Linked DNA regions of Macaca fascicularis. The protein of the gene in region 7 purifies or fractionates together with the protein of the main gene of each other region. This does not show direct contact. Links are inferred from orthologs where the notes say so. Each region holds a gene or a part of one and is shown on either strand. Other genes may lie near its edges.

The links.
Region 1: the proteins of MAX (region 7) and MNT purify together in Homo sapiens (affinity purification with mass spectrometry; 7 studies listed by BioGRID and IntAct, with this or other methods). This does not show direct contact. The link is inferred for Macaca fascicularis from reciprocal best matches to the Homo sapiens genes MAX and MNT.
Region 2: the proteins of MAX (region 7) and TFDP1 purify together in Homo sapiens (affinity purification with mass spectrometry; 5 studies listed by BioGRID and IntAct, with this or other methods). This does not show direct contact. The link is inferred for Macaca fascicularis from reciprocal best matches to the Homo sapiens genes MAX and TFDP1.
Region 3: the proteins of MAX (region 7) and WDR5 purify together in Homo sapiens (affinity purification with mass spectrometry; 4 studies listed by BioGRID and IntAct, with this or other methods). This does not show direct contact. The link is inferred for Macaca fascicularis from reciprocal best matches to the Homo sapiens genes MAX and WDR5.
Region 4: the proteins of MAX (region 7) and TRRAP purify together in Homo sapiens (affinity purification with mass spectrometry; 6 studies listed by BioGRID and IntAct, with this or other methods). This does not show direct contact. The link is inferred for Macaca fascicularis from reciprocal best matches to the Homo sapiens genes MAX and TRRAP.
Region 5: the proteins of MAX (region 7) and E2F6 purify together in Homo sapiens (affinity purification with mass spectrometry; 5 studies listed by BioGRID and IntAct, with this or other methods). This does not show direct contact. The link is inferred for Macaca fascicularis from reciprocal best matches to the Homo sapiens genes MAX and E2F6.
Region 6: the proteins of MAX (region 7) and L3MBTL2 purify together in Homo sapiens (affinity purification with mass spectrometry; 6 studies listed by BioGRID and IntAct, with this or other methods). This does not show direct contact. The link is inferred for Macaca fascicularis from reciprocal best matches to the Homo sapiens genes MAX and L3MBTL2.

What each region holds. Positions count from the first base shown.
Region 1 is NC_088390.1:2,519,650-2,523,696, forward strand, and holds the start of MNT (max-binding protein MNT), read right to left. Parts: upstream 2,801-4,047; 5' UTR 2,435-2,800; coding exon 2,362-2,434; intron 1-2,361. UniProt on the Homo sapiens protein: Binds DNA as a heterodimer with MAX and represses transcription. Binds to the canonical E box sequence 5'-CACGTG-3' and, with higher affinity, to 5'-CACGCG-3'.
Region 2 is NC_088391.1:104,025,194-104,028,693, reverse strand, and holds part of TFDP1 (transcription factor Dp-1), read right to left. Parts: intron 3,412-3,500; coding exon 3,290-3,411; intron 1,889-3,289; coding exon 1,723-1,888; intron 1,255-1,722; coding exon 1,111-1,254; intron 628-1,110; coding exon 559-627; intron 1-558. UniProt on the Homo sapiens protein: Can stimulate E2F-dependent transcription.
Region 3 is NC_088389.1:5,237,859-5,242,110, reverse strand, and holds the start of WDR5 (WD repeat-containing protein 5), read left to right. Parts: upstream 1-1,452; 5' UTR 1,453-1,656; coding exon 1,657-1,891; intron 1,892-2,131; exon of another isoform or gene 2,132-2,250; intron 2,251-2,337; exon of another isoform or gene 2,338-3,000; intron 3,001-4,252.
Region 4 is NC_088377.1:47,584,194-47,587,693, reverse strand, and holds part of TRRAP (transformation/transcription domain-associated protein), read right to left. Parts: intron 1,829-3,500; coding exon 1,625-1,828; intron 1,540-1,624; coding exon 1,345-1,539; intron 814-1,344; coding exon 529-813; 3' UTR 1-528. UniProt on the Homo sapiens protein: Adapter protein, which is found in various multiprotein chromatin complexes with histone acetyltransferase activity (HAT), which gives a specific tag for epigenetic transcription activation.
Region 5 is NC_088387.1:110,643,199-110,647,154, reverse strand, and holds the start of E2F6 (transcription factor E2F6), read right to left. Parts: upstream 2,801-3,956; 5' UTR 2,522-2,800; coding exon 2,414-2,521; intron 1-2,413. UniProt on the Homo sapiens protein: Inhibitor of E2F-dependent transcription. Binds DNA cooperatively with DP proteins through the E2 recognition site, 5'-TTTC[CG]CGC-3'. Has a preference for the 5'-TTTCCCGC-3' E2F recognition site.
Region 6 is NC_088384.1:10,407,013-10,411,203, reverse strand, and holds the start of L3MBTL2 (lethal(3)malignant brain tumor-like protein 2), read left to right. Parts: upstream 1-1,391; 5' UTR 1,392-1,406; coding exon 1,407-1,582; intron 1,583-4,191. UniProt on the Homo sapiens protein: Putative Polycomb group (PcG) protein. PcG proteins maintain the transcriptionally repressive state of genes, probably via a modification of chromatin, rendering it heritably changed in its expressibility.
Region 7 is NC_088381.1:132,922,108-132,926,168, forward strand, and holds the start of MAX (protein max), read right to left. Parts: upstream 2,801-4,061; 5' UTR 2,786-2,800; coding exon 2,546-2,785; intron 2,125-2,545; exon of another isoform or gene 2,072-2,124; coding exon of another isoform or gene 2,015-2,071; coding exon 1,988-2,014; intron 1-1,987. UniProt on the Homo sapiens protein: Transcription regulator. Forms a sequence-specific DNA-binding protein complex with MYC or MAD which recognizes the core sequence 5'-CAC[GA]TG-3'. The MYC:MAX complex is a transcriptional activator, whereas the MAD:MAX complex is a repressor.

The DNA.
Region 1 (4,047 bases), on a different chromosome or scaffold from region 7:
CCAGGATAGCTCTGCCCTTTCTTCTCTCTCTGACGGGCACACACATCTGCAGGGTCCTCATGTGAGCACACTGGCTGGTCTAGGTCAGAAACCCATGCTTGCGGTTGAAAGGGAGAATGGACAAGAGGATCCCTGTCCAGAGCTGGTCCTAGGTCCTGGGAAAGCGTTCTGGTCAGCAGGTTCACCTACCATGCCCTTCCCTCCCGTTCGTCCTGCCCCAGCTCAGAGGACAGAACGTCAAGAGGGAGAAGAAAATGAATTCTGGAGGTGAAACTGCTGGGACCGGTTCTGGCCACCTGTACATGAGTTTTTGAGTAGATCCGGCTTTCCGCACCCACTCATCTCCAAAGACCTCTGACCAACACCAAGCAGCGGTGACCAGGCCGCTGAACTCGGCCTAAACACAGTGGGTACTCGAACTGCAATGTGTTGGTGGCGGCAGCAGGTGACTTAGTCTCTCCGAACCTTGTGCACGGTCTTCCCCTGACCCCTGTGCCCAAACGTAGGACATTCTTGGTCACCACGGGCACTCTCCACTGCCAGACCCTGCTCTGAACCCCCAAGGCAACAGGCGGGGAGTGTTGGTGACGTCCCCGCCCATCACTTCTGCAAAACCCAGGCATCTGGGTCTCACATATTTCCAGTGACTCCTGACCTTGAGAGGCCGGTCGCCCCGACTAGGCCGGCGGCCCCGCAGCTCCCCCGCCCCTTGCCCGCTGCCGCTCCCCGCTCCCCCCTCACTGCCCGCCGCGGCGGCAGCACACGGCGGCGCGCGCGCACACAACACACTACTACCTCCTGCATGACTCATCATTGAAGCAACAATAGGCAGAGAGAAAGGAAAGGAGGGCGAAGCACTCTCTCCACCACAACCAACCCTGCCGGGGGATTCTGGGGGGCGGGGAGGGCACAGGAGTCCCCCGGTCCTGCACACACACCGTTCCAGAGCCGAGGCTCTGGCAGCACCCTGGAAAAGGAAGATCTTTCCCCCCAGCCCCTCTGCAGCACCCTGAAGCCAGGGACCACCAACAGGGCGCGTGAAGATGGGAGTCATTAGTCTCTTCCCTTTAGAGGAAGCGCCGAAGTTTCTTTCTCAACCTGGCTCATTCCAGCGTGGCCCCGGGTGATGCCAGGGGGCATGGTTGGAACGTTCTGGGGGTCAGTGGAAAAATGTGAGCTCTAAATGTCTCGTCGCCCTGCGATTCTGAGGGTTTCCCTTGCTCTCGGGATCAAACACAGGAGGTTAGGGGCGAGAGCCGACAGGTGAGCTCGGCTCCTCCCTCGCAGGGCAAAGGCTCTCCCTGGGAGGTGCCCAGAGGCCGGGGCCCGCGCCCGGGCCCAACCCAGCGCAAGGCCCCTTGCCAGCCCCGCCCAAGCCCCGCCCCCAGCCGAGCGCGAGGCGGTGAGGAGGGGCCGGGCCGCGCCGTCCCCAGCAGGAGTGTCCCCGGTGCACGTGGTCGGGGGCGGAGCCCGTCCACGTCACCACCCGGTGTAACCAACGGGCTCGGAACGCAGGCACACGCAACATTCCAGGCGAGAGCGGGTTTGGAACGCGCAGACACGCCACATTCCACACTGGCTAAAGCGGGGCGCAGCGAGGGGGACCTGGGGGCTGCCCCCCAGCGACCCGCGGGCCATTTCGCAAACGCCCAAGTAGCCCGGCTTTCACCCAAACCCCGGACGCGCGGCCCAGCCCAGCTCTGGGAGGCGGGGTCAGGCGGGGCTGGCCAGGATCATAAGACACGCGATGTCATTTCATTCTGCAAAGGCCGCCTCCGCCCCAAGCGGCGCGTAGATCTGCCGGGAGCGCCCCCCGCACCCTCCCCACGGGGCCAGGGAAGCCGAAGAGCTGCTCGGCGTAGAGTAGTCCCCACCCCCACTCCGTTACACACACGCCCACTCGTGTGCTATACACACGCCCGTGTACACGTCCGTTCATCTGCTTTTCCCGAGGCTCACATCACACATCCCCCGTGCACACACGCACGCACACGCGAGCCTGCCACCCCCACGCAACACCATTCCTCACCCCACCCCCCGGCTCACACATCCTCAGTGCCACCGAGGGCTCCGCTGGCCCACGCAAAAGCAGCCCCCCACGGAAGGGGCACAGGAGTGCCAGGCAGCCAGGGTGGCGCCCGCAGGAGCCAGGTCCCTCGCTGCATGTTAATGACTTCATTAATTAATTTCACTGCCCACATCACCCCTCCCCGGGCGGCGGCTCTCGCGGGGAGCCGTGCGCTGCCAGGTTCCGCGGGCCGCCCGGGAGGGGGCCCTGTCCGCGGTTTCGCGTGGGTTCGGGGACCGGGGTCACTCGCTTCCCCTTCCCCGGTGCCCCAGGGGCCCAGCCCGGCCGCTCACCACGTGCTCTCTGTTGTTGCTGCGCTTGCCATTCCAGGAAGCGGGCCGCCTCCAGTAGCGTCTCTATGCTCATCGCGCCGAGAGCTGCCGGGGGCGCGCCGGGGCCGAGGCTGCGGCCCGCGAGCCGGGCACAGGTCAGGCTGGCGGGCAGGCAGGAGGGAGGGATCACCTCCGGGGGGCGACAGGGCTGGGCGGCGCAGTGCACTCCGCAGGGAAGAACGGGGGAGCACGGGGAGAAAAATCAATGTCTCTCAAAATATTTGCAAAATATAAAATTGCAAATTTAAAAAAATGGGTGCAAAAAAAAAAAAAAGGCGGCACTGCCTCCCTTCTTCCCCTCCCTCTCTACCTCCCTTCCGATGCCTCCCGCCCCGCGGCCCCCGGGAGTCCCGCCGACAAGAAAGGGCTTTGCAACAAGATGGCGAGGAGGCACCGACACACACAACAAGGGAAGGAGCCGCGCTGCCCCCGGCCGCCGCCCCCGCTACTACACCGGGGCCACAGCCAAAGCCCGGACCGGAGCCCCCGCCCGCAGGGCCGCGGCGTCTCGCGAAGGGAGGGGCGGGTCCTGCGCTGCTGGCCCCGCCCACCGGAGCCGGCGCGCGCACACGTGGCCCGGGCAGGGAGGGAGAGGTCAGAGCCGGGTGTGCGCGCCGTGGTTCCGCTTTCCAGCTGGCCCCGCCCCTGCTGCAAGCCACAAGTTGGGCCGGGGCGGCGCGTTTGGGTCGTTCACGACGAAATCTGTCCTGCTGGAGGAAGGGAAGGATGAACAATTCAAGATTTAACAGAGCTCCAATCAGGATATTCCGGGTCAGGGAAACCTTGGGAATGGCAGAGACTGGCCTGACCCTGGGTCTCCACGCTCCACCCACTCGCGACCTAAATCCCGCAATCGCCCGGCTGTCGCAATTCCCCCGGGATCCGCCCCTGGGCGGAGCTGCCGGCGGCTGGAGACTGTCAGAGAACCAGCGGAAGGAGCGGAGCGAGAGTCCGGCTCCGCGTTTTGTCTCCGTTCCTCCCCCCGCAGTGCGTTCGCATCCTATTAGGCGACGTCACCGGGCTGCGGGCCAATGGGCGGGCAGGACAACACGGCATGGAGCAGCTCCACATGGACACCCCGCGCCGCCAGCCTTCGGTTTAAAGGGCCAGTGTCTGCAGGTCACATTCGCGGGTGCGGATGGGGCCACTTGGCGAACCCAGGGTGGGACGCCGTAAGGGAAATCCCGCAGTCATGCCCTGGCCTCCCCATTCCTTTTCGCCACCCTCCATTTAAAACCAAACCTTTATCTTTCCTTCCCCTAAACCCCAGTCTTTGTCCACGCGTATTCGATGTGGGTGGAGACACGGACTGTGCCACCCCATGGGCCACCCTTTGCTCTGGGGCCGGGGCCCGGGCAGGGAACACGAAGCGCCCGCAGCCAAGGCCCTGGGGGCGTGGCCCAAATCGGGAACAACAACGTGGAGGGCGGAAGCCCGGCCCTCCCCGCGCCTGGCGACCGGCAGTGGGCGGGACGCGGGGGCGGGGTCCGCTGCGTCCGGCTGGAACCGCGCTTCCCAGAGGGAGGGACCCCGTCGCCCGCCCGCCCGCCTGCTTCTTCCTGGCGCGAGTGTTTAGGGGAGCCCGGGTGCAGTCGGAGAGTTAGTCCTTCGAGGCCGGCGGGCCCTAAATCCTCTCACTTCACAGAT
Region 2 (3,500 bases), on a different chromosome or scaffold from region 7:
CTCCAGGGCCCTGATCAGCACTGTCAAGACCCAGGTGCATTGCGCCCACCACAGTTTTACATGCCTCGCCTGGCACCTGGGCCTTGGGTTAAGCACCTCTGAGGGGATTTTTCAAATGCTGCTTTTGCATGAAGTCATCCCTCCATCTGTCTTTTGGCTGTTTAGACACTGTGACGAGGGATACACACATACACATGCACACACACAGGCACATGGATGCAGGCACACACACGCAGGCACGCACACACATGCGTGCACACACACGCAGGCACACACGCAGGCATGCACACACATGCACACACACAGGCACATGGACGCAGGTGCACACACACATGCACACACACACGCACGCATGCATGCATACGCACACACATACACAACCTCGCTCTGGGAACACGGCCCACATTCAACACCTATGAGATGAACTCACACTCAGAATCTTAAAGCAGTCATTTAATTTGCCACACAGGAGCGTAACCCAAGGCAGTATGTTGCTGTTATAAAACTAAATTAGTAAAATAAAAATTACCCTGCCTCCAAAGATATGTATTCTCTTACCTGTAGAATAAGTTCTTGAAGTTGAGACTGTTTCTGTTTTATTCTTTCAAGTCTCCTCTGTCTTTCCACCTTCAAAAACAAACCCCCCATGTAGAGAATCATCACGATTGTTCCATACAGTGCATTTTACAACCCGCATCCTCAGTGTTACCTATGTTTACCTTGAATGTAATCGAAGGGATATGGACAAATCTAGACATAGCAGATGCCACAAAATACAGGTGAGTTTTTCTTCCATTTCTAAACTATACCTTTTCCCCTCTCCTCTCATTTCTTGGATTTAACTATGGTATCTAAAAAGAAAACAAAAATCCCACAAACTAGGATTCACAATTAACCTGTGCTAGAGTTTAACACACTCTAGTGGGTCTGGGCCAACCATGCTCCCTCCCCTGACAGCCGAGACTGAGAAACGCAGGGAGACGTCTGCATGACCGTCTGCCAGCCGTCTGGACACAGAGAGCATAAGGGCATGGAGCCCAGACCCTTCTGAGTGACGGACAACAAACACATCTACACAGACTTGAAGGGAAATCAAGGTTGAAGGGCCACCTCTAAGTTCTGACATTCCTGAGCCGAGTTGGTGGGCAGACCAATCCACTTGATCTCCTTCTTCTCCTTGGAGATGATGTTCATGGCCATCAGCACGTTTAAGGCATCGTAGACGCGCCGTCTTATGTTCTTCTGGTCATAAGCCTGCGGATGACAGGGAGTGGATTTTCCAAATGATCCAAAAAAGCCTGTGGATCCCACCTTAAACTGTAGGCCACGTGCACCGGCTTGAAGGGGCACCCCGCTCACAGAGCTGTCACCCCAACACGTCCTCAGGGAGCACTCCCACCCTACAGATGATGCAGGGCAAGACAGGGCTGTGCGAATCCCAGTGTGTTCCAGGAGGGGAGCTGGGGGCCCTCGGGTGTCGAGCCCAGCTGGCGAGGAGGGCACGTCTGCATTTCTGGGCCGCTGGATGTGCAGAGCCAGCCCACGTGCTCGCTCACTGACGCTGACAGAGCATCATGCCAGCAAATGGACTGGGAAAAATTCTGTCATGCTGTACTTGGAATTTTCTGTATGGTTTTAACTGTTCCCAATATTAAAAGAGTAAAACGTGCCACACCACTTGGTTCCGCTACCCTGGCCTCTCGGCCCCCAGCACACACTTACTGACTCGTTTGGTAAGATGTGGTTGTCGGCAGCACTGAACTCCGCGACCAGCTCGTCCGCCACTTCGTTGTAGGAAGTGGTCCCTTTCCTCTGCACCTTCTCGCAGACCTTCATGGAGAAATGCCGCAGGCCCTTGCCATTCTTCTCTCCTTTCCTGTTGCGCTTCCTTCAAAATACAAAGGAAAAAAGAAGCGACCGTCAGCCCTCCTGAGCATCAGTCTGAATCGAGGAATGCTTTTACCTGAGAGCTCTAATGAGCTGCACAAAAAGGGGCCACATCCCACGGGCGCAGCAGATCCAACACGTGAGCAGGCCAGGACCACCTAGCCCCAGCCCCCAGGCCCAGTGCTCCTGCAGGTCAGAAAGCGAGTGTCTCCCTGGCAGGCTGCACCTCTGTCCTTCCAAGTGTCAGGGAAAACGGGAGGCGTCCCCAGGACCCGAATCAGCATATGGAAGGCCTATCAGTACTCAGCATATGAGAGGCCTATCAGTACACCAAGCACTTCTTTTTTTTTTTTTCTTTTTTGAGATGGAGTCTCGCTCTGTAGTGGGCTGGAGTGCGGTGGCACGATCTTGGCTCACTGCAACCTCCGCCTCCTGGGTTCAAGCGATTCTCCTGCCTCAGCCTCCCAAGTAGCTGGGATTACAGGCGCCCGCCCGCCACCACACCTGGCTAATTTTTTTGTATTTTTAGTAGAGACAGGGTTTCAGCATGTTGGCCAGGATGGTCTCAATCTCTTGACCTCATGATCTGCCGGCCTCGGCCTCCCACAGGGCTGGGATTACAGGTGTGAGCCACAGGCATCACTTTTCTAAAGAGGGCAACCAGAATCAGGAACTATGGGACATTTCAGTGTACATTTGGGAATTTTTAGGACAAATTTCAGCAGGCTATAATTTCATACGGCTTGGGCTGTGATAGCCGCTTGACAACAGGTGCAAACCACTAAGTGTTCTTCACACAGAGGGAAAGCCCAACTCTACACTCTGGTCAGTCCCCACGTGGCGGGAAAGGTCACCTGCGGTCCCAGCTGGTGAAGCTTTGGGCACCGACACAGGTAGGTTTTTGTAGCTTTGCATGTGTGTTTTTTTAAGGAAAGACACAGCTCATCAGATCTTGCTTTAGTGGAAGGAGCCACTCTGGTGGGACCACTCACGGGGGCCGTAACCCCAGGGGCAGTAGAGGCTGCATTCAGGGGCAGTGGGTGAAATCCATCCCGCGTGCTCCCAGCACAGACGATGAAAAGTCTCCAAGGTCCTGTGGCAAGTACAAGGCCAGCTTCTCCCCGTCTTGGCCAAGAGCTGCCAGCCCTTCCAAGAGCACCCACTACACCAGACACAAAGCAGGGTGGGCAGTGCCCAGCCCGACTTCTCCGTGACCGAGGCAGTGCGCCTCGACTGCACACCTGTGCGGGGCACGATGATGGGTGAGTGTGATTCGGAGGCTGACATCAATGCGCATGGGAGCCCCACCGTGCGACTGTGTCACGCACGTGGCCCAGGAGAACGTGGAGGTGCGAACCGCAAGCAATCCTACAACTCTAAGGGTCCGGAGGGAAGTGCTCACCCGGCAGACCAAGGTGAGGAGTCGGAAGGCTGGTTCTGAGAGGCAAAGTGAGTGCTGGGGGTGTGTGGGCTTCCTACCACCAGGGTGTTTGACGCTGCCGGTCTCTGAGGCGTACCAATTACCTATAGTCAAAAAAGACAATTCAGACAGTCAGTCCCCGCCCACACGGCGAGGGTGCCACGCCCACCAACTGTTCGCTATCCACAGCCAC
Region 3 (4,252 bases), on a different chromosome or scaffold from region 7:
AAATATCGCAGGTGAAAACAGAAGAGAAAATAAGAATCACAGAAAAGGAACAAACATGTTGGATATTTGTTTTTCAGAACATTAACTAGGCTTTGGCCACCAGGAGTGACTTAGTAAATGGAACTGTTTCTCTGAACAATTTTTTTTTTTTTTGAGACGGAGTTTTGGTTTTGTTGCCCAGGCTGGAGTGCAGTGGCACGATCTTGGCTCAGTGCAACCTCCGCCTCCTGGGTTCAAGCGATTCTCCTGCCTCACCCTCAGGTGATCCACCTGCCTCAGCCTCAGACTCAGGTGATCCCGACCTCAGGTGATCCACTCCCCTCAGCCTCCCAAAGTACTGGGATTACAGGCGTGAGCCACCGCGCCAGGTGGGATTATCTCGTTTTTACTAGAAGGCTCTATCTCCTGGGGGTGGGATGGGGTGGTGAGATCAATTCACCTGGAAGTGGAAGCTGGGAACCTGGTTTGAGTTCTGATAGTTCTGGGGTCCAGCCCCTTATCTTGCTTCGCCTGGAGGGCTGAAGGACTGGAAATACTTTTGTTTTGGGGCTGGAACGCGGGCTGCAGTTTGGGAGGCGGCGGTAGTTTGGAAGAGGAGGCGGGGTCTGGTAAGCACTTTACCCGAATTGGGCAGTGGGAATTTGGGAATTGAGGACAATGGGAAGCTGGTTCTGAGTTTTAAACTGGGGAGTGACAGATCAGAGCTGGATTTTTAGGAGTTTCTCTGTCTGCAGGTTTAAAAAAGACCCGGGTGGGAGGTAGGGCTGGGGTGAGGAGGGAGAGAAGTGGGCGATCTGGGAGCTGAGGCGGGGTGGAAGGGAGAGCAGCGCGTCACGGGCTCGGGATTCCGGCCCAGGCGGCCAGAGATAGAGATGAGCTTCTTTCTCCGAACTGGGTTTGCTAACCTGTGACTGTCACTACTCCATGCTCCAGGGCACCTGGCCCAAGGGATCAAGCCTTTTGGGCACACAGATCCACCTGGAGCCCTGAAGGACCAGACAGGGACCTCGCCTTCTCTGTGTCCTTCCTGGGAAGGGGACTCCAGACCAACTGCCAGTCTTCCGGTTCCACCTCTCTGACAACCGCTCACCTCACCCTCCTTGGCATCTTTATTTCAAACGCTCTGTCCTTTTGTTTGCACGGGTTCCTGTGTCACATTCTGTGTTCCCATTTTTAATTGGAGAATAAGGGACTGCGTTATTCTACCCACAGGCCTAGCTGAGGGGATAGGGAGGCCGTGCCTACCTCCAAGGCTCTACGAAGTGAAGCAGGCGAGAATGTGCAGTCGTCGAGGCCAGAGCACCGGGCCTCAGCTTCTCCTTAAGACCCTGAGTCCTCCTCTGGGGACCACCCCGTTGTACCTGGAGGAGAAAATGCCCGCCCAGGAGGGAAGGGTTGGCCCCCAGAGAGCCCGCTGCGAAGTGAGTTTGCGCACTGCGGAGTGACTCCAGCGCGGCTCTGCCAGTCCGCGGGGCTGGCGGGGAGCAGGTTCGTGCACCGCGGGCTCTGCATGCAGAGGCGGGAAGCGCCCGCAGCCCGGCAGCCGGCCCCGCGGGAAGGCGCAGCCCGGGCTTCCGAACCCTGTGAACGAACGCGCAGGTTCCTGGTCTTCCAAATGGGCAGGAGTCGTCCTACCCGCCTGGGGTGGGAGGCCACATGGGGGCACTGCGCCCGGGAGCGGTCCCGGGTGTTTTCCAAATGCCCACTGCTGCTCTCATCCGTACCAGCGATGATCAAGAAGGGGCCTGGTCGCCCGGGGAGGTGCCCCGGTCCGACTTGACTCCGGGGACAACGCCGGGCGACGCCATCTGCGCAGGTCCCGGAGGGCCGCTTGTGTCTGTGTGCAGGGCGTGCTGTCTGTGGAAACGCGAGGGCACACTAGCACTTTCCTGTATGTATCATTATACTTCAATTTTTAGGAAGTACATTAGGAGGGCCTGCACCAGCCAAATTCGGAGATTAAAGCTTTTAAGCGGGAAGCACGCGCCCCGTGCTGTCCCTTTAAAGCGTTGGGCCGGCCCGAGGCATTCTGGCCGCTGCCGCTGCCCGTAGCGCTCCTCCGAGAGGCCGGCTTTGTGAGCTCGCCCCGCCCCCCGGACACCGCCCCCCTCCCCTCGCGCACGCGCACTGCGCCCCCGCCGCCTGGCGCCCGCCCGAGCTGCCGCCTCGTCGAGCTGAGTCCGCGCTCCCGCCCAGGCGGCGGCCGACGCGACGCCCCGAGCGCCCGGCCCCGCCGCCGCGGCCCGGCAGGTAAGCGGGTAGCCGCCCGGCCCGGGGAGCGCAAGGCGGGCAGCGGGGCGGCGCCAGGAGCCGCCAAACCACCCCCGGCCGCCGCACGTGTTCCCCGCCGGGCCTCGGGCCAGGCCCAGCCCCGGGCGCTGCTCCAGCTGCAGCGGCCCCGCCCGGGACCCCCGCCCTGGCCCCTCGGTGGACGGCTGCGCGCGTAGGCCCCTCCACCCCGTCCGCCCCCACTCGCGCCCCCACCTCCGCTTCCCCGGCGGGCCACTGACAAGGCCAGAGCGCCGGCACTGGGGCCTCTTTCCCGCAGGCGGCGTACCGGCCTCACATCGCCCCTCTTCCTCCTCTGCCCCTTCAAGGAAGGACCCCAGACCCACCAAGCCACTCAGTCCCTGGACGTGGTGCGCTTCCCCTCCTCGTAGAAACGCCCCCAGCCCGCTCCCGCCGCTCACCCCAACCCGAGGCAGCCAGGCTGCAGTTCGCTAGGTGGGGTCCTGGGGTGCGGGTCCTCGGTCCTAAACGGGGGGCCCACCGTGCCTCCTCGCGCGGGGCCGCAGACCTGTCCTGGCCGATCTGCGAGAGCCATTTTGAGCGGTTACGTTCCGGGACCAAACTGAGGTCGGCCTGTTATTTATCGCTAACGACACTCCCTGCTGTCTCGCTTGCAAGTTTCCACTCACCCAGGTCCGTTTACCCATCTCTTCAAATGCTAGTTTAATCTGTGACCTGGGCAGGTGCTGTGCTAGCCGGTGGGGAAGACAGGTAAGCGAAGGACCCAGGCGGGAGCCTGTCCAGGATCTCAGAGAGGTAGAGCCGGGTTCCCACCTGTGTTGGGCTGGCCACCTGGCTGGTGTTGAAGATGCAGATTAATTCTTGTCTTTGCACACAGTGTGCTCTCCTGACTGCACGCCGCAGGCAGGTTCCTGGGCTGGATCTCAGGGACTGAGGGACTCAGGCATCAGCCTGTGGCATGCAGTCCAGGAGGCCATACTGAGATTTGGTTGCTGGGCTTCAGGTGGTCAGGCTTACCTGGATGAAAAGCAGTGGCTGCTAGGTGGAGCCAGGCAGCAGCTGGTCTAGAGGTCACCTCCTCATCACCGTGCCTGTAACCTCGGTCCCCCCCCTTTCCTCAGTATCAAGTCTCCAACCTTCCTGTTCCCTCAAAATGATTGTTCCACAGAGACACCTGGTTGGTCATGAAAATGCCAAGCCTTGGCCCAGCGCGGTGGCTCACGCCTGTAGTCCTAGCACTTTGGGAGGCTGAGGCGGGCGGATTTTCTGAGGTCAGGAGTTCGAGATCAGCCTGGGCAACATGGCGAAACCCTGTCTCTACTAAAAATACAAAAAAGTAGCAGGGTGTAGTGGTACGCACCTGTAATTCCAGCTACACAGGAGGCTGAGGCACAAGAATTACTTGAACCCGGAAGGTGGAGGTTGTAGTGAGCCGATATCGTTCCGCTGGACTCTTTGGACTCTGTCTTAAAAAAAAAAAAAAAAAAAAAATGCCAAGCCTAGATGCCACTACTGAGGTAGAAACTTGGCAGGTGTGTTGGGTCAAGAAATTGCATCTCTCTCCCTACCACCACCACCACGGAATTTTTCACTCTTTGGCCCAGGCTGGAGTGCAGTGGTGCAATCTTGGTTCACTGCTATCTCTGCCTTCCAATTTCAAGCGATTCTTCTGCCTCAGCCTTCCCAAGTAGCTGGGATTACAGGGACCCGCCACCACACCGGCTAATTTTTGTATTTTTAGTTGGGACGGGGTTTCTCCATGTTGGCCAGGCTGGTCTTTATCTCCTGGCCTCAGGATCTGCCCGCCTCCTGCCTTGGCCTCCCAAAGTGCTGAGATTACAGGCGTCAGTCACCACACCCTGCCACTGTATTTTTTTTTTTTTTTGAGACGGAGTCTCGCTCTGTCATCCAGGCTGGAGTGCAGTGGCGTGATCTCGGCTCACTGCAAGCTCCGCCTCCCGGGTTTACGCCATTCTCCTGCCTCAGCCTCCCGAGTAGCTGG
Region 4 (3,500 bases), on a different chromosome or scaffold from region 7:
AAGGCTGGCTGCGTACAGCCTAAAAGTTTGTGCTCAGAGAAAAACCAGCACGATGGGTTCATCATCTGTTTCTCAAACCAAACGGGTTTTCTGTACACTTGTTACAAAGGTCTGTACAAAAGCAGGAAGCTGCTGTGAGGTGTTATTTCCGAAAGAGTTAAAAATGGATGGTAAGGAGCGGTTCGCACAGTCCCGCCTGTACGTTCACAGACAGAGGACACCATAAAAAAAGGGCTCACCCAGAAATTCCAGACCGGAGAATCCTGGTTTCTTAAAAGATTATTTTAAAAGCTTGCAGGAAGTTTCAGCTCTGCCATTTCTAACCGCCTCGCCCAGCGTCGTCATAGTTCAGCTTCCTCTAAAACTAAATTCTCCCTCTCACACACCAACTACCAGGAAAATAACTGCAACCCAGTGGAACCGCGGGGCTTCTGAGAATAAAAGGAACGAGGCAGGGACAAGTCGTATAAGCTGCGGGCTCAGAGCCTGGGGCGCCCTTCACATTGCGGGTGGCCATGGCGGCCGCGGTCACAGCCAGGGGTGCCAGGCAGGGTCCATGCGGCACAGATTGTCCAGGCTGTTCGCTGCGGCCACCAGGGTGTTCACCTTGCTTTCCCCGCCTTCGAACTGGGCGAGGTTGTGCAGGCGGGTCATGATGGCGGTGACGGCTTTCTGAACCAGGGACACCAGTTGCTGGCTGTCCATGTTCTCCGGTTGCCCGGCGGCCGAGAGAGGAGAGGACGTGTCCTCCTGCGTTTTTTTGTGCCAAGCAATGATCTCATCCCGGAGAACTGTTTTCAGAATGCCGTCCACCTGCGTGAGGGAGAGAACGAGAGGACGTGTGTTTAACCAAGAACAGCCCAGAGGGGCAGCTTCCTAACAGGGTGGGACTCAACCACAGTGGCCGCCCAGGGCCACCGAGGGCCCGTCAAGCCTCAGCACCAGGCCAGGCTGTGTGCTCTCAGGATGGGCTGGGGAAGCCGCTGAGGGACAAACCCCTTCCTCCACTTGGAGCAGCAGCCAGAAAGCCTCCGTGTTGGGCAGCACAGACCCGGACGGCAAAGGCAGCCATGCTGCGACTGGGGCCCGATCTTTTTATTTGTTCACTTGACGCCTTCCAGCGTCTGCCCAGTGTCCAGCAGGCCCATTCCAAGCACTACAGACGAGAGTGAACCAAAGAGAAAACCATCCCTTGCCCGCACAGCAAAGGACGTAACACGGGTGCCGGCCACTGTGGAGAACGCAGAGCCCGTGAGGCAGATCAGCAGCTCCTGCAAGGCCGTGGCGCTTGGGCATCTGAGTGGCCCCAGCCTGTGCCCATGACAGGACGACGCGGAGACCCACCTTAAAGTTCGGCTGGGCGAAGCACCGGGCAACCGCAATCATGGATGCCGTCAACGGGCCGGAGACACCGATGGTAGTCAGAAACTCAGAAATGTTGGGCGTGAGTCGAAACGGGACAGGACGGTTGGCATCTAGGTCTCCAGTGGCGTCGTTTATGTCAAACCGAAAGTAGGCAACATTCAGTTTGCCAGTGTCCTAAATTTCAGAAGGAGACACTTTAGGAACTTCAGCAGAAAGGCAATGTCACGAGGAGAGGATCTGGCAGTTCAAACCAGGTTACCTGAGCGATCTGTAACATCTCGGGGTTGAGTCTATTTAAATGCAGGACGAATTCCGCGAAGCCTATCAGAGCCAGCTGGATGGTGAACATCTTCCGGAACGTCCAGTAGTCCGTGGCGTTGGGGAAGGTGTGCAGCGCCCACTCCTTGAGCATGCTGCGTGGCACCATGTTACTCTGAACCTCCTTGAGGATGTCGCGGAGGACCTGAAACACATCACCCCGTGACACTCCCATCTCACTCACTGATTTTTTTTTTTTGGCAAAAGAAAAACTCTCAAATTGCAATTCCTCTTTAACTTAGCACCGAGAGTAAATTCTGGTGACAGATTTAACACGCGCATTGTTAGGAGACTGAACGTGAGGAGGCGCAAGATGGCTGCCTCCGTCCAGGGTTCGCCGCCGTCTGCTCTAAAGCACCAACGCAGCTGGTCTGCGCCAAAGCCGCAGTTACCTGACATGCGATACCTGACAAGAATGCAGGCAAGTATCTGACACTTCCACCCTTGCTGACCACAGAAGGTATCAGGCCAATTAACAGAACACAACAGCCGGACACCAGCAGCACCACTTCCAACCAAGACCTTATACTAATGACCAATATTTCACAAACTGAAGGAGCTGGTCTAACCACACACACACTCGAGACTGAACTCCGTACTCATGGACTATTGCAGACATCACCAACTCAGAAAGTTTCCTTAGTTAATGGAGTTCCTGTTCGACCATCTGGTAGAGGCACAGGGTCTCTTCCAGACTAAGTCCTACCCACGTGCTCCGAATGGCCGTGAGGCAGAACGTGAGAAAGGTCGTGAGAAAGTTCTTGCCTTCCACCGGGAAGAACAAGGCAGGCCACTGGCCACACACGCAGTTTGTTTCCTCATCTGTCAAACGGGAAGGAGCACTTCTGAGACGGCAAAGGATTTCCAAAGTCTGCTCCTGAAGCAGTTAGAATGCTGGCAAAACCACCAAAATCAACTTTGTCAGAACTCTAGGAACTAAAGGCTTACAAGTCTGAGGAGCTTTTTTTAAAATTTATTTAAAAAAACCCAAAAAAACAAAGGCTGGGCTGGGCATGGTGGCTCACGCCTGTAATCCCAGCACTTTGGGAGGTCGAGGCGGGCAGATCACAAGGTCAGGAGTTTGAGGCCAGCCTGGTCAACATGGTGAAACCCCGTCTCTACTAAAAATACAAAAATTAGCCAGGCGTGGTGGCGGGCACCTGTAATCTCAGCTACTCAGGAGGCTGAGGCAGGAGAATTGCTTGAACCCAGGAGGCGGAGGTTGTGGTAAGCCGAGATCATGCCACTGCACTCCAGCCTGGGCGACAAGAGCAAAACTCCATCTCAACAAAAAAAGAGAAAAAGAGAGAAGAATGAAGGAGTAGAATAAATAACAAAACAAACAAGAGGCACATAGAGGAGGAAGTGGCTCTGAAGCTGGATTCCTCTGTGCTGTGGGCATCTCCCTCTGCCGACAGGCCCTGACAGCTGCTAACCTGGAACAAACATCCCAGTTGGACACTCACGCTGTTTAGAAACAGGATGACTCTGGGGTCAGCACGTATTTGTCACTGGCTTCCACGATGTCGAAAGTTAATGTTGCCTTAAGAATATAATCCATTCTTCTCCTGCAAATACCTCAGAACTGCCCATTGTCCACAGAATGACCAGGCCATGGCCTGTGCCACAAAAAAGCCCTGGCATCAGTTCCCACGAGAGGCCATGCACTCTGTCAACAGAGGCTGATCAGAAACAGGGATCCATGCCTCTGCCTGCAGAGCTGGAGGCTGCACCTGACCCTGCAGCCTGGAACACCTTGGGCCCTGCCGTGCCCTGGGCCACAGAGGACACCATGGGCTCAACCTTCCTCAACCACA
Region 5 (3,956 bases), on a different chromosome or scaffold from region 7:
TGCATGCAAACTAAGTGGTTTTTCCACAGTGAGCTTAGAGTTTTTATCAAATTCTCAAATATTAAGACGACCAATACAGATGGTACCAATATACAGCTGATCCTCAAACAACACAGGTTTGAACTGTGTGGGTCCACTTAGATGCCAATTTTCTTTACCCCCTGCCACAACTTAGAGAGCAAAACCAACTCCTCCTCTTACTCCTCTTCATCAGCCTACTCAGTGTGAAGACAAGGATGAAGACCTTTACGATCATCTAATTCCCCTGAATGAGTAGGACTTTCTCTTATTTATGATTTTCTTAATAACGTTTTCTTTAGCTACTTTATTATAAGAATACACTAACTAATACATGTAAATACAAAATATGTGTTAATCAACTGTTTACAGTATCAGTAAGGCTTCCAGGAAACAGTAAAGTTTTGGGGGAATCAAAGTTATATTCAGATTTTGAATTTCATGTGATTTGGTGCCCCAAACCCTGAGTCGTTCAAGGATCAAATGTAGACGGTAACATAAGTCATGGGAGGAGAGAATGAACTCCCCTAAGAAGAATGTGTAGAGACAGCAGAAGAGAACCCTGAATATCATCAACATGTGGCCAGCCACGGTGGCTCACACCTGTAATCCCAGCACTTTGGGAAACTGAGGTGAGAGGACAGCTTGAGCCCAGGAGTTCAAGACCAGCCTGGGCCACGCAGGAAGACTTCCATATCTAAAAATAAAAAAATTAGCCAGGCCTTGTGGCATGTGCCTGTGGTCCCAGCTACTAGAGAGGTGGAGGCAGAAGAATCACTTGAGCCTGGGAGGTCAAGGCTGCAGTGAGCCAGGATGTGCCACTGCACTCCAGCCAGGGTGACAGAGTGAGATCCTGTCTCGGGGGAAAAAAAAATGAAGGACTGGGAAGAGGATGAGGACAAGGAGAGCCCAGAGAAGCAGATGGAACATCAATGTCAAGGAAACTCAAGGGAGAGTTTCCAACACAAGTAGTTTTGTGTCAAAACTACAACAGCTGCTGGAATTGACGAGATTGTCGGTGACCCTGGTTAGAATGGTCTCACAAGTGTGCTGAGGATAGGGGTCCCCAGCAGTGGGTTGGCTGATAATGAGACGATCAAGTGGAAAGAGTGAGTGTAAATAACTTTTTCAAGAAGTTTAGCTGTGAAGGGGAAGAGAGACAGTAGATGGCAAGGGATATGGAATTAAGGGAGGGATCTTTTAAGATGGGGATGGATTGAGAATGTGGTTTTAGTAGTCAAGAATTTATCATCTGGAGTTAGACATTTGGAGGTTCAACCCAAGTTTCTCCACTTACTATCTAGCCACAGGCAAGCCGGCATTACATGCATCTCCAGGTCTGTTTTGGCAACCGTAAAACAAGAATAATAGTCTTTTACTATTATAAAACACTGCTGTGAGAAATTAAATGAGACAATAATCACAAACTATTTGGTATGGGGACCAGGCATAATGACTTGGGAAAATGTTTAATTACTACTAGTTATAGGAAGAAAGCAGCAGAGAAATTGAAAATATGGGGAGAGGCCGGGCTCGGTGGCTCACGCCTTGTAATCCCATCACTTTGGGAGGCCGAGGCGGGTGGATCACCTGAGGTCGTCAGGAGTTCGAGACCAGCTTGGCCAACACGGTGAAATCCCGTCTCTACTATAAATACAAAATTAGCTGGGTGTGGTGGCGCATGACTGTGATCCCAGCTACATGGGAGGCTGAAGCAGAAGAATCGCTTGAACCTGGGAGGCGGCGGTTGCAGTGAGCTGAGATCGTGCCATTGCACTCCAGCCTGGGGAACAAGAGTAAAAACTCCATCTCAAAAAAAGAAAAAGAAAATACGGGAGGAATGGAAAAGAACGCATTTGTTAAGGACCTTGAGAACCGGGGAATACAGTATCTGGTCCAGAACAAGAGTAGAAGAAATCAGTCTTTGTGGGAAAGGGAGCCAAATCTCCTAACCATTTTCTCCGTCAAACAGGTGGGGAGATAATTTTATGAATGGGAGCTGTGGCGTGGTAAATATAAAGCGTGGACAAGGTTTTAAACGGCTGCAGTAGAGCAGAAGAGAGAGAAGGTAGAAGAACAAATGATAGGTTGCAGAGATACAGCTAGAGTCCACTGAAGGAGAAAAACATGGCCTTTCCAATGCAAAGTTGAGCAATTTTCTCCAACAGTGCCCTGAAGTTCCGATGTAAAAGTCCAGAAGACTGACACCACGTCTGTGAACAGATGCTGAAAGCAGAAGGCGGGAGAGCGCAGTTTCGCAGCACGTGATGGGCAGCGCCTGGCCCAGGGGGAGCAGACGACCGAGACGACGGCCAGCGGGGTTGGCGGCGGCGCGGGGAGGAGGGGGCCAGCTTTGGGAGACCCCCGCCCGTCCCCCTCCCGTCCCGGAGCTTACCAGCAGTCCCTCCACGTTGATGGGGTCTCGGCACCGACGGCGAACCGTCTCCTCCGCGGGGTCCAGGAGGAGACTGGGCAACTTCCTCGCCGGCCGCTGCTGACTCATGCTGCCCGGCCGGGCGTCCCGCTCCCCTCGCACCCCGCGAGCTCTCCCGCCCTCTCGCGCGCAGCTCGATCACCGCCCCCCACGCGCCGATTTCCAAGGGCCCAGAAACTGACGGATCCGCGGCGTCCTCCAAGGCCCCGCCCGGCTAGGCCGTCCCACCCGCCAGCAAACGCGGCACTGCCTCACGTGCCCGGGAACTCCCGACGAAGACGGGAAAGGAGGAGGTAGACCCGCGGCTCTCAAGTAGCCCGGCCCGCCATTTTTCCGCATGCGCAGTGTACCGCCCCCCTCTGCGCATGCCCGCCGCGGCCGGAGCGCTCCCACGCACCGATCCTCTCCCGGCGGCTGGCGCCCGGGAAACCCGGACCGCGGAATCCACGGAGAGGCTGGCAAAGGAAAAGGAAGAGGTGGAGCCGGATTCCAGAGGAAGGGAACGGGGGTGAGAGAAAACAGGCAGCTGGGAAAACGCAGCGCTCGCCTGGAATTCTCGACGGTGATAACTGAAAGCTCTCAGCCGCAAAGATGTTCATTTATTCCTTTTTTTAATTTTAATTTTTTTTTTTTTTGTCGCCCAGGCTGGAGTGCAGTGGCGTGGTCAGGGCTCACTGCAGCCTCGAATTCTTAGGCTCAAGCGATCCTCCCACCTCAGCCTCCCAAGTAGCTGGGACTACAGGCGCGCGCCACTGCGCCCGGCTAATTTTTAATTTTAATTTTAGTAGAGGCAGAGTCTCAGTATATTGCACCGACTGGTCTTGAACTCTGGGGCTCAAGCCATCCTCCCACCTTGGCCTCCCAAGTGCTGGGATTATAGGCATGAGCTACCACGCCCGGCCTTCATTTATTCCTGAGCTCTGTTAGCACATCTTACAGGCGGGTCAGTGTTGATGCTTAGTAAATGTGAGCAACCAAACCATTGTGGTATCGTTTTACTTCTGCCTGCCTGCCTTCTTTCCTTCCTTCCTGCCTTCCTTCCTTCCTGCCTTCCTTCCTTCCTTCCTTCCTCCCTCCTTCCTGTTTGATGAATGAGTTATCGTGGACCTATAGTGTCAGATATTGGGGTGAGCACAGGCGATACTTACTCATTTGGATATGCCACAGGTTCAACCTCCAATTTCAGTGGGGACAGATAAGTAAACAGAGCATGTTAATTAAGCTGGAGCCAGAGGTGTGTTTTCAAATCCTGGCTCCTACTTATAAACCAGAAGACCTTATTAAGCCAGTTACTTAATCTGCCTGTGCCTCAGTTTCCTTATTTGGAAAATGCGAATAATGACAATACTTACCTGATAAGGTTGTTGTGAGGATTAAATGGATTAATGGATACAGGTTGCTGTGATTAGAACAGAGGCCAGCACATGTTTGAAACAAAAAGGTAACACACCGTGGTGTGTACAGAGTTGGAGGGAAACAACCGGTTAGACTGGGGGTTTCTACA
Region 6 (4,191 bases), on a different chromosome or scaffold from region 7:
TGAGCCGAGATCGTGCCACTGCACTCCAGCCTGGGCAACAGAGCGAGACTCCGTCTCAAAAAAGAAAGAAAGAAAGAAAGAGAGAGAGAGAGGGAGGGAGGGAGGGAGGGAGGGAGGGAGGGAGGAAGGAAAGAAAGGGTGACCACTTGAAGGGCTGCTGAAATGGGCCGGTGGCTTGTATTAGAGTGGTAGTGGAGGAAATACAGGATATATTTTGGAGGTAGAAAAACCAACATGTTGGCAGCATGGATACAGGGGTTTAGGGTGGAAGGGGTTGAAGGAAAGAAAGACATCTAGGAAGAGTTTCACATCTCCATGGTGGACCTCAAATTTAGGCATATGTTTTGTATGTATTCAGCCTCCACATATTGCATTTAGAGTCTCAATTAATTCATTGGGACACAGCATAGCATAGGGAAGGAATTTGTACTAAATTTGGAATCCCTATCCTGTGTGATCTTGGAAAGTGCCTAAACCTGAAGAGCCACCACTTCCTCTTCTTTCAAATGGTGATAGGATGTGTAAGGGTTTGAAAAGATGTTTGCAAAGCTCCACAACAGCACCTAGAACTCAGGGTGTCTAAAGAGGTTGTGGGAAACCCTAACGGGATGAGGCAGAGAGCCTCAGATTCAAGGTTTTTACCCAGGAGGGAGTGGTGCATGAGGAAGGTTGCAAGATTTTGAGGAGGCTGGACACTTACAGCATTGAGAAAAAGAATATTCCAGTTTCAGCTGACGCGGTGGCTCACGCCTGTAATCCCAGCACTTTGGGAGGCTGAGGCGGGTGGATCATGAGGTCAGGAGTTCAAGACCAGCCTGGCCAAGATGGTGAAACCCCATCTCTACTAAGAAATACAAAACTTAGCCGGGCTTGGTGGCGGGCGCCTGTAATCCCAGCTACTTGGGAGGCTGAGGCGCGAGAATCGCTTGAACCCGGAAGGTGGAGGTTGCAGTGAACCAAGATCGCGCCACTGCACTCCAGCCTGGGCGACAGGGCAAGACTTCGTCTCAAGAAAACACACACACACACATACACACACAGTATTCCAGTTTCTTTCTTTTTTTTTCTTCTTTTCAATCTGGAGTATTTCAGTTTCTGCCTGAGTTGGAAATGAGTCCCTCTGCTATGCATCCCAGCAAAAGGACACCTTAAATACCTAACTCGGGAGAGTACGAGGTTATTCCTGGAGTCTGGAACAGTGACTATCATAGGTGCTCAGTAACCGTTTAGTGAATAACATCCCAATGAAGTCAAGAGGTTGGCGTAACTGGAACAGTCGGCGTGAGGCGCACCAGGTTTCCAGCGTTCCTGGTTTCCACGTCACTATGGTAACGTCCCACCCTGCACACCCAAGGCGAACTACAATTACCACAAGCGCCCGCGATTTCCCCGCCCAAAGGGAGAGAATGGCGCGAGCAAGCACGGAACCGGCTTTTCCTCCTTCCTGCAGCGTGATTGGCCCGCGGCTCAGGGAGGCGACCAATGAGTGCTCTCGTGGAGAGCGACGAGGCCAATATGGCTTCCTGCACCTGGTGACGCTTGGCGAAACTGAGGTCTCATGGAGAAGCCCCCGAGTATTGAGGTGAGAAGGAGAGGACTTAGCGTGACTTGGAAGGGGAACCCCGAGATCCTCGCTCCGTGGACCCTTCTTTAGGGCTTTTAGCGACGTCTGGAGGATGGAAGGTGGAAGGATGGATAAACTGAGATAGTTAAACTGAGCCAGGGCCAGAGGCGACTGGCGTTACTTTTTGCTCCTCTCCTGCTGGGGCCAATGTTCGGCGAGTTCAGGGAGGAACAGCCGTCCCTGGCCTGGGGGAAGGGGAACTAGGTTTAGGATGTGAGAGCTCCTGAATCGATTCTTTATCCTCATTGTCTCGTGGCCGTGTTCTTTAGGGCTTGTGAGGCCTGTTACATGAGGTGGGAAGTGAAGGGCGATTAACGTTGGGTGAACATCACTCCTTGTCTGTAACGTTCATGTGCATTATCTTCCAGTACCCTCACAGGAATTATTATTCTTTCGTCTTTGTCGTTCAAGCCACTGAGGCTTAGAGGTGGTGCGACGCCCCAGGAAGTTACCCCGGCTGGAAAGTGAAGGAGGTTGGCTCTAAGTCTGTCCGCCTCCGAAACTATCTGTTATGCTTTTCACATTGTACTGCAACCTGGAACCCACTCATCCCTTTTGTTTTTTCTTTCAGACGGAGTCTTGCTCTGTTGCCCAGGCTAGAGTGCAGTGGCCCGATCGCGGCTCACTGCAACCTCCGTCTCCGGGTTCAAGCAATTCTCCTGTCTCCGCCTCCCATGTAGCTGGGATTACAGGCATGCGCAACCACACCCGGCTAATTTTTATATTTTTAGTAGAGACGAGGTTTCACCATGTTGGTCAGACTGGTTTCGAACTCCTGACCTCAGGTGATCTGACTGCTTCGCCTCGACCTCCCAAAGTGCTGGGATTACAGGCGTGAGCCACTGCACCCCGCCTCATCCTTTAATCATTTGGTTTCTGGGCACTTTATATTTGTTTTAAGAGACGGGGTGTTCCTCTGTTGCCCTGGCTGGAGTGCAGTGGTTACTCACAGGCGTGATGACAACGCACTGCAGCCTCGAACTCTTGGGCGCAAGCAATCCTCACACCTCAACCTCCTAAGTAGCTGGGACTATAGGTGGTCTCTGTCACCCTGCCTGACAAGGGTACCTATATTTGAACTGTTTCCTTTCTAGCATATTTGCATGTATAGTTGCAAATATAAAGTGGAATAGCTCAAACATTCTGCAAGGGTAAAGGAAAATAATAATGTGGAGAATAATAGCATGTCACACTTTTAGAGCTGTTACTGACTGCTGGAAATAGAACTAGGCTTTACATATCTTAATCTTCATAAGAATTATCTAAAGAAAGCTTATTATCTCTCTTGTAATGATGAAGAACTGAGGGTAGCAAGATAAAATACGCACAAAATCACACAGTTAATAAATGTTAGAGCCAGGATTCAAACCTAGGCAAATCATAGTCTATGCTTTCAACCAGTAAAAGTTGGCAACGTTTATTGAGCACTTACTATATGCAAGTCACTATTCTGAGTGCTTTGCCTGTATTGTCTCTTACTTCTCCCCCAAATCCTTTTTTTTTTTTTTTTTTTTGAGACAGAGTTGCTCTCTATCACCCAGGCTGGAGTGCAGTGGTGCAGTCATAGCTCACTGCAGCCTTGACCTCCCTGGCTCAAGAGATCCTCCCACTTCAGCCTCCCTAACCACCACGCCCAGCTAATTTTTTCCAGTTTTTGTAGAGACAGGGTTTCCCTATGTTGCCCAGTCTGGTCTTGAACTCCAGGCTCAAGCAATCCTCCTGCCTCGGCCTCCCAAAGTGCTGCGATTACAGGCATGAGCCACTGTGGCCAGCCCCCAAACCCTGTGAAATAGGTGGTACTATCCTCATTGTACAGATGTGGAAACTGAAACACTGCAAAATTGACTTGCTGCAGGTCACACAGCAAGTAAGCACTAGAGATGGTATTTGAGCTCTTCACACCTTTTTTTTTTTTTCCCTTTGAGACAGCGTCTCCCTCTGTCATCTAGGCTGGAGTGCAATGATGTGACCATGATTCAGTACAGCCTTGACCTCCCAGGCTCAAGCTATCTTCCCACCTCAGCCTTCTGAGTAGCTAGAACTACAGGTGCATACCACCACCACCTGGCTTTTTTTTTTTCTTTTGAGACAGTATCTCACTCTCTTGCCCAGGCTGGATAGCAGTGGCATGGTTATGGCTCACTACCGCCTTCACCTCCCAGGCTCAAGCAATCCTTCCACCTCAGCTCCAAGGAGCTGGGAATACAGGCACATGCCACCACACCTGGCTAATTAATTTATTTTTATTTTTTTGAGACGGAGTCTGGCTGTCGCCCAGGATGGAGTGCAGTGGCACCATCTCGGCTCACTGCAAGCTCCGTCTCCCAGGTTCACGCCATTTTCCTGCCTCAGCCTCCTGAGTAGCTGGGACTACAGGCTCCCACCACCACGCCTGGTTAATTTTTTGTATTTTTTTTTTTTTTTTTTTTGAGACGGAGTCTCGCTGTGTTGCCCAGGCTGGAGTGCAGTGGCCGGATCTCAGCTCACTGCAAGCTCCGCCTCCCGGGTTTTTACGCCATTCTCCTGCCTCAGCCTCCCGAGTAGCCGGGACTACAGGCGCCCGCCAC
Region 7 (4,061 bases):
AAAAAAAAAAAAAAAAAAAAAAACTTTCTCTTACTAGGATTCAGTATAATTCCAATTCAAAGGATAATTCTGCAAAGGAAGCCTAACGATCCTTACCCTCTGTCTCTGATCAAGCCCTGGCACAGATTTTACAACTGGAGACTTGCAGGAAAAAAAAAGTTTTCAACAGACTAGGCCCCAAACATGAAGGATAAAAGTAAACGAAAAAAACGAATTCAATTTTCAAATATATGCATAAGTATATGAGAATACTTCAAGGATAAATAAAACAAAATAAATTATCTTTAATGACTATTACCCAGGGATAATTTTTAAGATTTCTGGAACAACTACATCCCCGGATTTTAAGAAAATACCAGCTCTCAATAAATAAGTTTTCTTAATGCCTATTTGCTTAGACAACCTGCATAATCTTTGCTTGCTCTAATGAAGAGCAGGTACAACTGAGATGGCTTGCCTTTATCCTGTGATTATTAGGTTCTTATACCAGAGGTATCAAAGTGACATCCTGCAAATTCTAACAAGCCCAAACAGTTGTTCCACACATCATTTTAAAAATCAGAAAAATAACATAACGCTTTGGATTTCTAATCTTTCTTAAAAAATAGGAAGATCAGCTGGGCGCGGTGGCTCACGCCTGTAATTCCAGCACTTTGGGAGGCCGAGGTGGGCGGATCACGAGGTCAAGAGATCAAGACCAGCCTGGCCAACAAGGTGAAACCCCGTCTCTACTAAAAATACAAAAATTAGCTGGATGTGGGGGTGTGCGTCTGTAGTCCCAGCTACTCAGGAGGCTGAGGCAGAAGAATCGCTTGAACCCAGGAGGCGGAGGTTGCAGTGAGCCGAGACAGCACCATTGCACTCCAGCCTGGTGACAGAGCGAGACTCTATCTCAAAAATAAATAAATAAAATAAAATAAAATAAAAAATAGGAAGATCTGGCAATACTGACCCTTCACTCCTACATAACAAACCACTGGAATTCAGTAGTGGCTGACCTTTTAGGAGAGGCATTGCTCTCCAGTACCCAAGTCCTCACCTCTTCTTTCTTTATTCTTTATGGCCCTCATGGGCATTCAAATTTTTTACCCCCATTCTATACACTTCCTACTGTTCCCAATTTCAAATATTAGAATTCTGATATACTTATTTCTCTTCCCCTCTGATTCTGATTTATTCTATATGTTTTCTTTTTTTCCCCTCTAATCTATTCATGAAAAACCCATATTACTGTCTCAGACTCCAGAGACATGAAATTAGTGCATATCTAAATCCACAGAACCATCTACTGGGAACATTAATATCAAAACCCTAAAAAATTATTGATAACATTATATGGTCTCATCCATCACCTTTCAGCAAAGCTCTTCCTGCAATGCCACTTTTCTTCAGCTATTTTTTAATTTTCTTTATACCTCTTCTTCAAATACAGAGAATCAGACCATAATAACTTTATGTGACACTTTGATGATGCAACGTTTGGCTCCTCTACATTTCCAATTTTTGTGTTAGAATACCACATTGTGCTAGATTCTACAGGTCTATAGCAGTCACATGACTTGGTTAAAGGCGATTATTGCATGTGGCTTCAGCTTCACATAATTATACAGATATGGTTTAAAATCTACTTGTTCCTAAATAAATCTTCTGACCACTTTGCCCTGAAATAATACTACCACTGACTTCAGAATGCTGCATTTCTCATTTCCACTTACATAGCGGCAGCTGGATCCCCTATTTGAAAACTACAGAACAATTCAATTCTTTGCATACAGCTCCTCTTACTGAACTTATCACCTGAGAATCTAGAATGATAGGATTTGCAACTCCCCCACCCTCCAGAACCAGGCCCCACCTCACCTTAGTGGTTAACATTAGTGATTTACTACAATATTAAAAGTAACAGTACGATCTCTTTTTCTCTCTGACCCCAAAAAGGAATAGAACTGAACGGAAATAAAAATGAAATGGAGAGTAGGAGACGTACCGCAGATTGAAACCTCGGTTGCTCTTCCTGGAATAGGAGAGAAAAAAAAATAGAAAATATAGAAGTTATTTTTACACTTAACATTCAATAATAAGAAAGAAAATGCCGGCGGCAGAGGAAGCGGAGGGTGGGGAGTCAGCCCGACACCCCTTCCTCCCTCCCCACCCCTTGCCCCCACCCTTCCACCCTCGGCGGGATCCGGTAGCGGGATAGAGGGGTCCCGAGCGCCGCCCCTCCTTCCGGGATCCGACCCGGGCCAGAGGGGTCCCGAGCACTGTCTCCTCCCTGCAGACCCAGCTCGGGCATCTAGGCACCCCCAACCCCTCTCCGCCCTTCCTCGCCCCCCAGGATCCGCGGGTCACGGGAGGAGAGGATCGCGTTCCGAAGGGGCAGGTCCTGAACGCCGTCCCCTTCCCCTGGATCCGGACAATGGGATCCCGGGCGCCCCCCATCCTTGTCCCCCGGATCCTGAGCCCGGGAAGGTGGGAGCGGGAGGCCGCAGCACCCTCCCCCACGGGAGAAGGTGGGAGTCCCAGAAGCCGCGTGTCTTCCCCCCACCTCCAGTCCCAGGAGGCCGCTCCGGCCAGGAGCCGTAGGGGAGCGAGCCGGGAACGCGACGGAGGCAGTCCTGGCCCCGAGGGAAAGGGGAAGGGGAAGGAGGCGGCGGCGGCCCGGCCCCCTCCCGCCGTCGCCCCGCTGAGAGCCCCGGCCGCTGTCCCCGCCTGACAACCCGCACGGGAAGGAAGAAGCCCCAGGACTCACGTCGCTCTCCACCTCGATGTCATCGTTATCGCTCATTTCCTACAGCCCAGGGAGCGGCCACTGCAGCGGCGGCGGGGAGGGGAAGGGGTGAAGGGGAGGGGGAAGTCACCGACAACAACAAGCCGAGTCCCCCCACACACACACTCACTCACTCACTCACTCGCTCTCTCACTCACACACACACACAACACGGGCAAGAACCACCTCCTCACTGCAGCACCGGATCAACGGCGGCACGCACGCCCGGTCGGCCCCCGCCACGTGACCAAGCTCGCAGCGCTGGGGCAGCCGAGACTTGTAGTTTTTGTCCCTTTGACAGACGGCCCGGGTAACTCCAGAAAAACTACAAATCCCGGAAGAAACCGCATCCAGGCGTCGCCAGCCAGGCTGGTAGACGGAGCCCAGGGCGCCTGCGCGTCCCGGAAAGGGGGCGGGGAGAGCCGCGGCGCGGCGCCTCCTGGGAGTCGTAGTCCGCAGACCGCGAGTTGTCAGGAGATTTTCCTCCAGAGGCGGCAGAGGAGGCTGCTGGGAAGACAGGACACGTGGAGGGAGCTGGAGCTCCTGGAGCCGGGCACCGTCGGCGCGCTGAACGCCGGGCCCAGGGGACTGGGTGGAGTCTCTGGGGGAGTAGCCGGCTGTCTAAATAATGCTGCCTCTTTTTGGTGTGACTGGTTATACTTTGTCTTCTTGATGCGAAGTGGTTCTGTTTTGCGCCTAGGGGCGTAACCCGCCCTGGAGGGAATCCGGCTGCGGCGGAACAGGGGGTGCGGCTCGGGATGCCGGCGCGAACCCTCGGGAGCTGGTGGGGAGGTATCAGTGGCAGGTGTTTCGTGGTGTTACCGGACAGGCAGGATGACCGACCTCGCCGGGCGACCGCTCCCAGCCGCGAGAATCCTGTATTCATTTATCCGGGAGTGACCATCCTCGCTACTCAGCTACTCGCGTGAGGTTCCAGCATTCACAGAACGCGAACCCTCAACCACTGTGGACGTGAAAGTAAAAGCCCTTTAGAGTTTGTTGTAGCCCAGGCAGTTTAGGCAGTATCCCAGCTCAGAGTACCATAATTAAGATCGCAAAAAGGATCAATATGGGAAACTTGGGCAGTTCCCTGTCCAGTTAAAATCATATTTATATACTGTGGCATGAAGTGTAATCACATCCATTCCACCAATATTTTTTGAACACCTAACATGTGCCACAAGGGGATGCCATAACGGATAAGACCAAAACCATCCCTGCCTTAGGCCAAAACCATCCCTGCTTTTATGCATGCAGCTCACAGCTGTGCAAGCAAACGTGTCTGCCCTGCCGC